Oryzias latipes: one gene and its partner. Each later gene encodes a partner of the first gene's protein in a complex. Links are inferred from orthologs where the notes say so. Each region holds a gene or a part of one and is shown in the gene's direction. Other genes may lie near its edges. The genes, in order: ptar1 and ykt6.

The links.
Region 2: the proteins of ptar1 (region 1) and ykt6 are in contact, whole or in part, in a crystal structure (PDB 6J7F), measured with the Homo sapiens proteins. The link is inferred for Oryzias latipes from reciprocal best matches to the Homo sapiens genes PTAR1 and YKT6. Residues at the interface, in NP_001093136.1 of Homo sapiens: Glu31, Gly33, Leu34, Ile35, Pro36, Val48, Val50, Glu51, Lys53, Leu54, Gly55, Ser58, Lys135, Tyr191, His225, Ser228, Met229, His230, Val231, Ser232, Asp233, Phe298, Asp301, Leu302, Ser305, Tyr306, His309; in NP_006546.1 of Homo sapiens: Met1, Ser29, Phe30, Phe31, Asn83, Glu84, Pro86, Gln131, Asn132, Pro133, Arg134, Gln180, Phe184, Arg189, Ser193.

Annotation. Positions count from the first base shown.
Region 1 is NC_019867.2:30,527,645-30,530,909, forward strand, and holds the end of ptar1 (protein prenyltransferase alpha subunit repeat-containing protein 1), read left to right. Parts: intron 1-164; coding exon 165-381; intron 382-1,209; coding exon 1,210-1,478; intron 1,479-1,559; coding exon 1,560-1,884; 3' UTR 1,885-2,473; downstream 2,474-3,265.
Region 2 is NC_019867.2:5,871,755-5,876,192, forward strand, and holds the start of ykt6 (synaptobrevin homolog YKT6), read left to right. Parts: upstream 1-1,548; 5' UTR 1,549-1,668; exon of another isoform or gene 1,669-1,785; intron 1,786-2,054; 5' UTR 2,055-2,074; coding exon 2,075-2,178; intron 2,179-2,294; coding exon 2,295-2,377; intron 2,378-3,232; coding exon 3,233-3,333; intron 3,334-3,417; coding exon 3,418-3,522; intron 3,523-3,672; coding exon 3,673-3,738; intron 3,739-4,438. UniProt on the Homo sapiens protein: Vesicular soluble NSF attachment protein receptor (v-SNARE) mediating vesicle docking and fusion to a specific acceptor cellular compartment. Functions in endoplasmic reticulum to Golgi transport; as part of a SNARE complex composed of GOSR1, GOSR2 and STX5.

The DNA of each region.
Region 1 (3,265 bases):
AGATTAAATATTGAAGAGAAATAACTCAATGTGGTCACAGCGGTTTTAAACGACCCTTTAAGGAATAAACCTCGTTCATAGCGAGAGGAAACAGTTTACGTGAGGACGTAAACACACAGCTGTGGTGGAGCTGGCATGCCGACGGCGTGCTCTGATGTCTGCAGGCGCTGGGTTCTGCTGCACCTCCTGCAGAAGGCTCCGCCGGCGGACCAGAACCAGACGGACGCGGAGAGGAGCCGGCTCCTGGGCGAGCAGCTGGCCCAGACGCTCCAGCAGGAGATGAAGGTGTGCGCCGACGCCGCCTGCCGCTATCCCAGCAACTACAACGCCTGGTCGCACCGCATCTGGGTGCTGCAGCGGCTGGCCAAGGGCAACGTCAAGGTGGGTCCGTCGAGTCCAGTGCCGGGTTCTGTCTGTCTGACTCGGTGAAGAACTCGGTCAGAAGTGTGGAGCTCAATGCTGTTATTCCCTCTTCAAGGAGGAAGGATGTAACATAAAGAAAAAAGAAATAACTGGGCGGGGTTAAAGTCGGCCACACATAAAAATCAAAGGAAACTAACCAACAAAACACCAAAGGTGGAATAAATGATGGTAGAACTTAAACTGTCAGGCTTTATAGCAAAACACAAAACTACTCAAAATGCAACAAGAGTAAATTTAACAAAAGGAAAAAAGCAGAATCAAGGTACGAGGGAAACCAGAGGCTTTCTCAAGCTGACGCCAGGCAGAAGAAACAATCCTCTCAGGAATACAGCTGGAGCAGAGGATCCTGGGAGTTTTTAAAGCTTCCCTCCCAGCCAGGCGATTGAAAGCAGGCTCAATCAGCTCTGCAGGGGGGGCGGAGTCAGCAGCTGTGCAGGAGCTGTGAGAAACACTCACACACAACATGCAGACACGAGCAGGGGTCGTAGCAACGCTGTCTAAAAGAGGATTGGTGACCCCAAAAGCCAGAGTGACCCACCTGGTAAAGTCCTGAACCTCCTGATGAGCTGCTCTGGTCCTGAAATCCACAGATTGGATTCTGGAGTTCTTTAGATGTGTGATATTAAAGTTACTGCTCTGTAACCCTTGTGCTATCGTGTGGGGTCCAGATGACCCCACCTCCCAACGTTAACGTTGCCCACACTTTTGATCCAGCTGTGGGGGGTCAGTGGGTACGCAGTGGTTCTTCCGGTGGGTTTCCCACGTTCTCCCTCCCCGTTCCTGCAGGTCTTCCTGGACGAGTTGTCGTCCATGCGGCCTTGGGTGTCGGCGCACGTGTCCGACCACAGCGGCTTCCACTACCGCCAGTTCCTGCTGCAGGAGCTGACCGGCGCTCTGGCTCCGCCCGCTGGCTGCAGCTCCAACGGCGAGCGATCCGCAGTCGAAGAGCCGCCGCACGACCTCCCCGCGGTCCAGCAGCTCTTCTGCCACGAGTTGGAGCTGGTCTCAGATCTGATCCGGTCCTTTCCCGGACATGAGACCCTCTGGAGCCACAGGTCAGTTCCTCTCAGCAGGAAGTCTTCTTCAGCTCTGCTGGGGCTCCTCTTCCTCAGATCATGTTGTTTCCCCCCCCCCAGGAGGCACGTCTTCTTCCTGTGGCACCGCTGGAAGGAGCAGCACCCGGGCGACGGCGGTGATGAAGGCGGGGATCCAGCAGAGGGCGCTCAAACCCGGCTCAGCCAGACCTCCGCTGGAGTTCCCATGGAGGTGGAGCGGGGGTGTTCCTCAGATCCACAGGACATCAAACGGCTGAGGAGGGGTGTCCCACTCCCACAGCCCCCCACCTCACAGACTGAGCACGTGTTCGTCAGCGGCCTTCTGGACGGCTGCGGCCCCGAGCAGAGGAGCTTCGCCCTGGCCTACAGGAAGTGGTTGGACACGGTGGTGGGCGTGCCGTCCTGACACCGCCAACTCTAAGCCCCGCCTCCTCGTAGCACTGAGGCTGCCTTTAGGTCAAGGACCAGCACACCTGCCTGCAGAGCCCCTTCACTCTGACGGAACCATCCAGAACCTTCTGGACGGTTCTGACCCAGCAGCTCCTCCGAAGCCCAGCTGGTGTGGTGGTGGGGGGGGCTGCCTCCCGTTCCAGTGTTTTTAGCTCAAGCCTCAGCCGTCTGACTCCTTCTCAGGGGGGGGGGTGTTTCTCCACACCTACTCATGCCGGCGTGCAGAACAGAAACAGGAGGGGGAGCGGTAGGACCCAGCAGAACCCGGAGTTCTGCCGGTCCAGAACACTACAGTTCTTAGGAAAGGCCCTCTGCAGTGTGACTGACGGACTCCGTTCACACGTTCAGGGGGCTGCATTTCTTTCCTGGGGGGGTCTTTACTATGTAGCGGTTGGTGACCTTCACACTGACCTCCTCAGACCCAGAGCTACATGTGCATGCCTCGCCCCCCCCAGGCCCATGGCAGCGACACTTTAAGGTACTTGAATGGTTTTGGGTAGACCAGAAACGCGCTTTGCAATAAAAGCCGCTTCTTTTGCCTCTGACATCACTTCCTGTCGTTTTTACCCGTCATTCTCTGCATGACTCCATGATCCGTCAGCAGGCTGGTCTCCAATGACGGCGGACCGCTTCAGGTTTGGAAGCTTAGACCGGTTCTGCTCACATCAGCTCCACCTGCACCCGCCCAACGGAGCTCAGACAAATATGTAAACTTGATCAACTGAATCACTGATGAGAGCAAATCCACATAACAGTGAGATCAATTCATCCAAATCCTCCGCTTGTGCTCCTGTTAAACATCAGGAAGTCCTAATCAAAAAGATCCTGAAGGATCCACGAGGAAGAAAGCCACACTCAGGCAGACATCTTTAACATGACGTCAAAGCAGAGCGCCACCTGCTGATGCCGCCACCTGTTTCCTTCTAAATAAACTGATCCCAAAGTGATTACGGTACATCGCTAGAGGAGACACGCCCACTTGGGAAGCCTGGCCAACGGTGGCGGAGCGTAACGCCATCTTGGTGAGGTCGTCAATCCCACATGACAATGCTTTCTATAGCCTTTGGTGGCATCTAAGTAGCTTTTATATAATTTACATTTATATATATATACATAGAAATATATTTTATATATATATATAAGCACATATGTTGTTAAAAAGGAGAAACAGTCAGCCTTAAAAGCTTAAACTTTAATGAAACTTACATAGTTGCAGGACTTCTTACAAATAAAATAAATGACAAAGAATTTTTAAAAATAATTTCTGAACATTTAGAAGTTTTAGATCTCTGACATATAATTTAAATTATTTAGAAAAGCCCCACAATAAATCAATT
Region 2 (4,438 bases), about 25 Mb from region 1:
TCTCTCTGACATGACTGCATTTTTTTCTTTTTTCAAACTGAAGTCATAAACCTGAAAGAAAAGTCTCACAGATTTCTCTTCATTCCTACTCGTTTGTTTGGTGCATAAAACCACATGGACGCGCCTTCATTGTTGCTCAAGTTCCATTACAAAAATGTGTGGGACTTGTCCAAACACTAATTAAAAATATATATTTTAAAAAATAATTATTTTGGAAAGTTGGAGGAGTAACAAAAAACCCAAAATTAATAAATAAAAAAGTCAAGTTAGAAAGTTTTCAGATAAATCCTCGCTTTGGCTGTTAACAACAAAAAAAGGTTAAATGACAAAAAAAAAAGCATCCAGCGTCTCGGTGAAAACGTTGCTGTATCTCAACAAAACCAAAAGCAATTCCACGAAGGACAAATCATTTCCTCCCTTGGTGCGACTGGTCCAACAGATGCGCCTTTATCATTTTGGGTTGCTTTGGAAACCTGTAACAGGCGTGCCTCTCACACGAAAAACACTTACTTACACCGAGTTAAGTGGACAGGAGGAAATTGTTAAATGGAGCAAAATTACAAGAGAAAACATCAATTGAGGGTGCCAAGTCTTTAGTGGACTAATCGACATTTTCACCTCCCACCTCCAAAAAAAGAACCTTCAGACATAAGTCTGTATGGGTTCATGAAAAAATCGTCTAATAACTCGATGCGGGAAGGGTGACCCAATTAAAAACTGTATTTGACGTTTGTTAAAAGTACAGAGCAGGGAGTACAGTTGGTAAAGGTTTTGTAATTTTTAAAATAAAATACTAGTCATTGTAAGTAAACGTTGCTACCCAACACCATTTATATAACAACCATCAATAATAAAACACATAGGACACATTTTTAAACATTTTTTGTAATTTATTTAACTAAGCATCACTGATATGTACTAAATATGGGGCAGTCGTGGTGCAGTGATAGGGCGGTCGACCTCTGATAGGAATATTACGGGTTCAATTCCCACCTTGCCCACCCATGTGTCGAAGTGTCCTTGGGCAAGACACTGAACCCCACCTTGCCTCTGGTGGAAGGTTGGCGCCAGTGTTCAGCAGCAGAGTTGCCACCAGTGTGTGAAACTGTGTGTGAATGGGACTGTGACTGTAAAGCGCCTTAGGCCTTCGAAGATGGTAGAAAAGCGCTATATAAGTTTATGCCATTTACCTACTAAAACATGAGACCCTTTGACATCTAGAGGTAAACTAACCAGTTATTCTAAAAAAATGTTTTAACTTTATTTACAGTGAATCCATTTTATTATTGAGTATATGATGGGGGGGGGGTTATACATGTGAAGTACAAAAACATGAAAAAGAGGAATGTTGAGCTGAATATCCATGTTACCTTGCATGCTGCCTGACGTCTAGTATTACTACTTTCTTTATTAATGTAATTATGAAATAGCTATTGTTTATTTATCAAATGTACTGGTGACTCTGATGAGTGAGAGATTTTTAAATACATTTTTAACAGTTCACCGGTACCTTAAAAAGACACCTCTACAATGTTCCTCGCATGAGAGCGGAACGATGAATACAGCGGTTCGTGTTTCTTCCGAGCTACTACACCGTAGGACCGCGTTGGGGCAGTGACGTGGTGGCTGATTACTAAAGTACATCTTGGACAGTTGACGCTAATTAAGGTGTGGTTCGGTTATCTGAGCCGTTCGCAACTCACCATCAAGCTTTAATTAATTTGAAACAAGTGATTCTATTTGCTTTTTTGACCGGAAATTTATCGCTCACTGCTGATTTGCCTGGTAAGTTGTCTCGGGCCTCAACCAAACTAGTTAGCATGTTTGGCTAACTTCTTCTGCCGGGTTTCAGGAATGTAATCGAAAGTAAAATTGATGTACGAATATCTGTCTGATTGATTTCATGTAACATCCACATGATTGTTTTTTTAACTAGCTGGTAATTGTTAGTGGCAGACAGTATTTTCACTCTTGAAGGAAGTTGGCCCCCTCTCTTGGCCATCCAAGTTGTGTTGGATATTTGGATAATGCTTACTTCTTGTCCTTTTAATCAGATTTGATCCGAGGGATAAAAATGAAACTCTATAGCCTGAGTGTCCTCTACAAAGGAGCGACCAAATCAAATCTGTTGAAAGCGGCCTTTGATCTGTCCTCCTTCAGCTTCTTCCAGCGTTCCAGGTGAGTTCCACTGACCGTAACTAAAGTTTATTTTGACTGTACCGGAAGTAACGCACAGACCGCGTTTGAACTAGAGGCCTCCATGAACTTAAGCTTTGCTTTGTTGTCATCATTAGTGTGCAGGAGTTCATGACCTTTACCAGTGCCTTAATTGTTGAGCGAACGTCACAAGGGACCCGTGCCTCTGTCAAAGAACAAGGTAACACTGAGCTGTTTTTCATTATTATACATTAATCATAGCAAATGCCTTATTGTTATCACAGTGCCTAGGAAAAACTGTCATTTTTTAAACTATAAATTGTAGTATTATAAGAAGGGAAAAAAGGAATACAAACAGAGAAGAATGTATTGTCGACCTGAAGGAGTTCATTGTCTCCAAAGTGCTTTTTATATTCCCACAAATTCATTAGTCTTTTTTATGTAGCTATAATGTAGCTAGGACTATTTTCTAATAATACCTAACAAAATGATGTTTGACAGCTAAATGTAAACTTAAAAGGAGACTTTGATACTAAATAAAAATCACAGATGTTAGTTCTGTCTTCCTAATCCACTGTTTTCTTCTTTTGATGTTTTATATCTTGTGGGGTTTGTATATTAACAGGGGTGGAACAATTGATCGTATTATCAATTTTTGTTCCTATGATCCAACCAGACCTGTCTGAGGCAAGTTGTTAATTGAATTGACCTACACACTATTCTAAAATTGTTCCAAAATATAATAAATATCAATATTAGAAAATACCATTTAGATTTTACTACAACGAAAAACCACCAAGTGCCATCTCAGCAGATGACGCACAAGTGATGGCAGCAAAAATGGATCAATCCATCATTACAGTCCAATGTGTGGAAGTTTTGCGAAGAACTTGTTCTGTCGACAGTTTTATCAGAAAGCTACATAAGATTTTAAAAATGGAAACGCATGATCTACGGATTTACACGTACCTCTTTAAGCTGAATGTTTGGCCCACTTTGAGCCTTTCCCTGTTAGAAAAGAGTTTTCATTGTTTTGGCGATTTTTATTTTAATTGTTTTTGTTTTATTTTTTTAGAGTATTTGTGCCACGTCTATGTGAGAAATGACAGCCTGGGTGCTGTGGTCATCGCAGATACAGAATACCCACAGAGGGTCTGTTTCACATTGCTTGACAAGGTAAGTACAACATACATTTTTCAAGCAATTGACTAAAGATTTTAAAACTCAAATCCTCTTGATTTCTTTTTTTGTTCTTTCTAGGTGTTAGATGAGTTCTCCAGGCAGGTGGACAGTATAGACTGGCCAACTGGTAGTCCTGAAAAAATAAACTACAAAGCCTTGGATATTCACCTGGCTAAATATCAGGTCTGCTTTGCTATACCATTGAATGTCTATTCACATATCTGAACTGGAGAAAAGGAATAGTTTATTAAGTTGTAGAGTTTACTATTAGAGAATTTTGCCAAACTTATTTTTCGAAACATGTTACTGAGCTGTTTGTTCTTTTTTCCTCAGAACCCAAGAGAAGCAGATGCGATGACTAAAGTACAAGCAGAGCTGGATGAGACAAAGATCATTCTGGTAAACTTCCCTGTCTTCAGTTTTCACTAAGTTCTGAATTCTTGTACTAAATCTACAGTTTAAAAAAAGCGAACTGGTGTTGCACAACGTGTGCGTATTGTGTATTTCTGTCCATTTGTGACAAAGTGAACTTGTTCACAGGCATTAAAATTGATTGACGACCATGATGGCGCCGATCTATATCCGTTTGAGCTATTAGCTCCAGCCTTGGTCGTAGCTAATGCCGAAGCTGACTTCAGGGGCAGTGAACCTGCAGGAATACGGTTGAATAGTCTTTCTTTGTTTAGGAAGGTTTCTAACAAAGTGAAATGACCCAGAAATGTCAACCTTGATGAAAACATGTCAAACTCTCTTAACACAGTCAATAAGCTTCAATGCTTACTTTAAATTCTTCTAGCATAGATGGACAATCCATGTGAGAAAAAAAAATACCTTTTCATATTTAGAATTCACTTTTATACGGTTATTTTATTTGAGCAGAAATATCTTTTATGAACTATAAAGTACTCTTTCTTTTTAATATTTTATTTTTCCCTACTTTTCCTTGAAGATTTGGTGTTTTCTGTCGCTGTGAAATAAAACTGTAGAAACACTAAAGCAATTTGACTTTAAACTAAGAGGTGGAAATAAACAGTGTCTTTGCCATTTTTGAACAAGAGGCTCAAAAAGATGCCATCTGTGGACGTTTAACGGTCAGCAG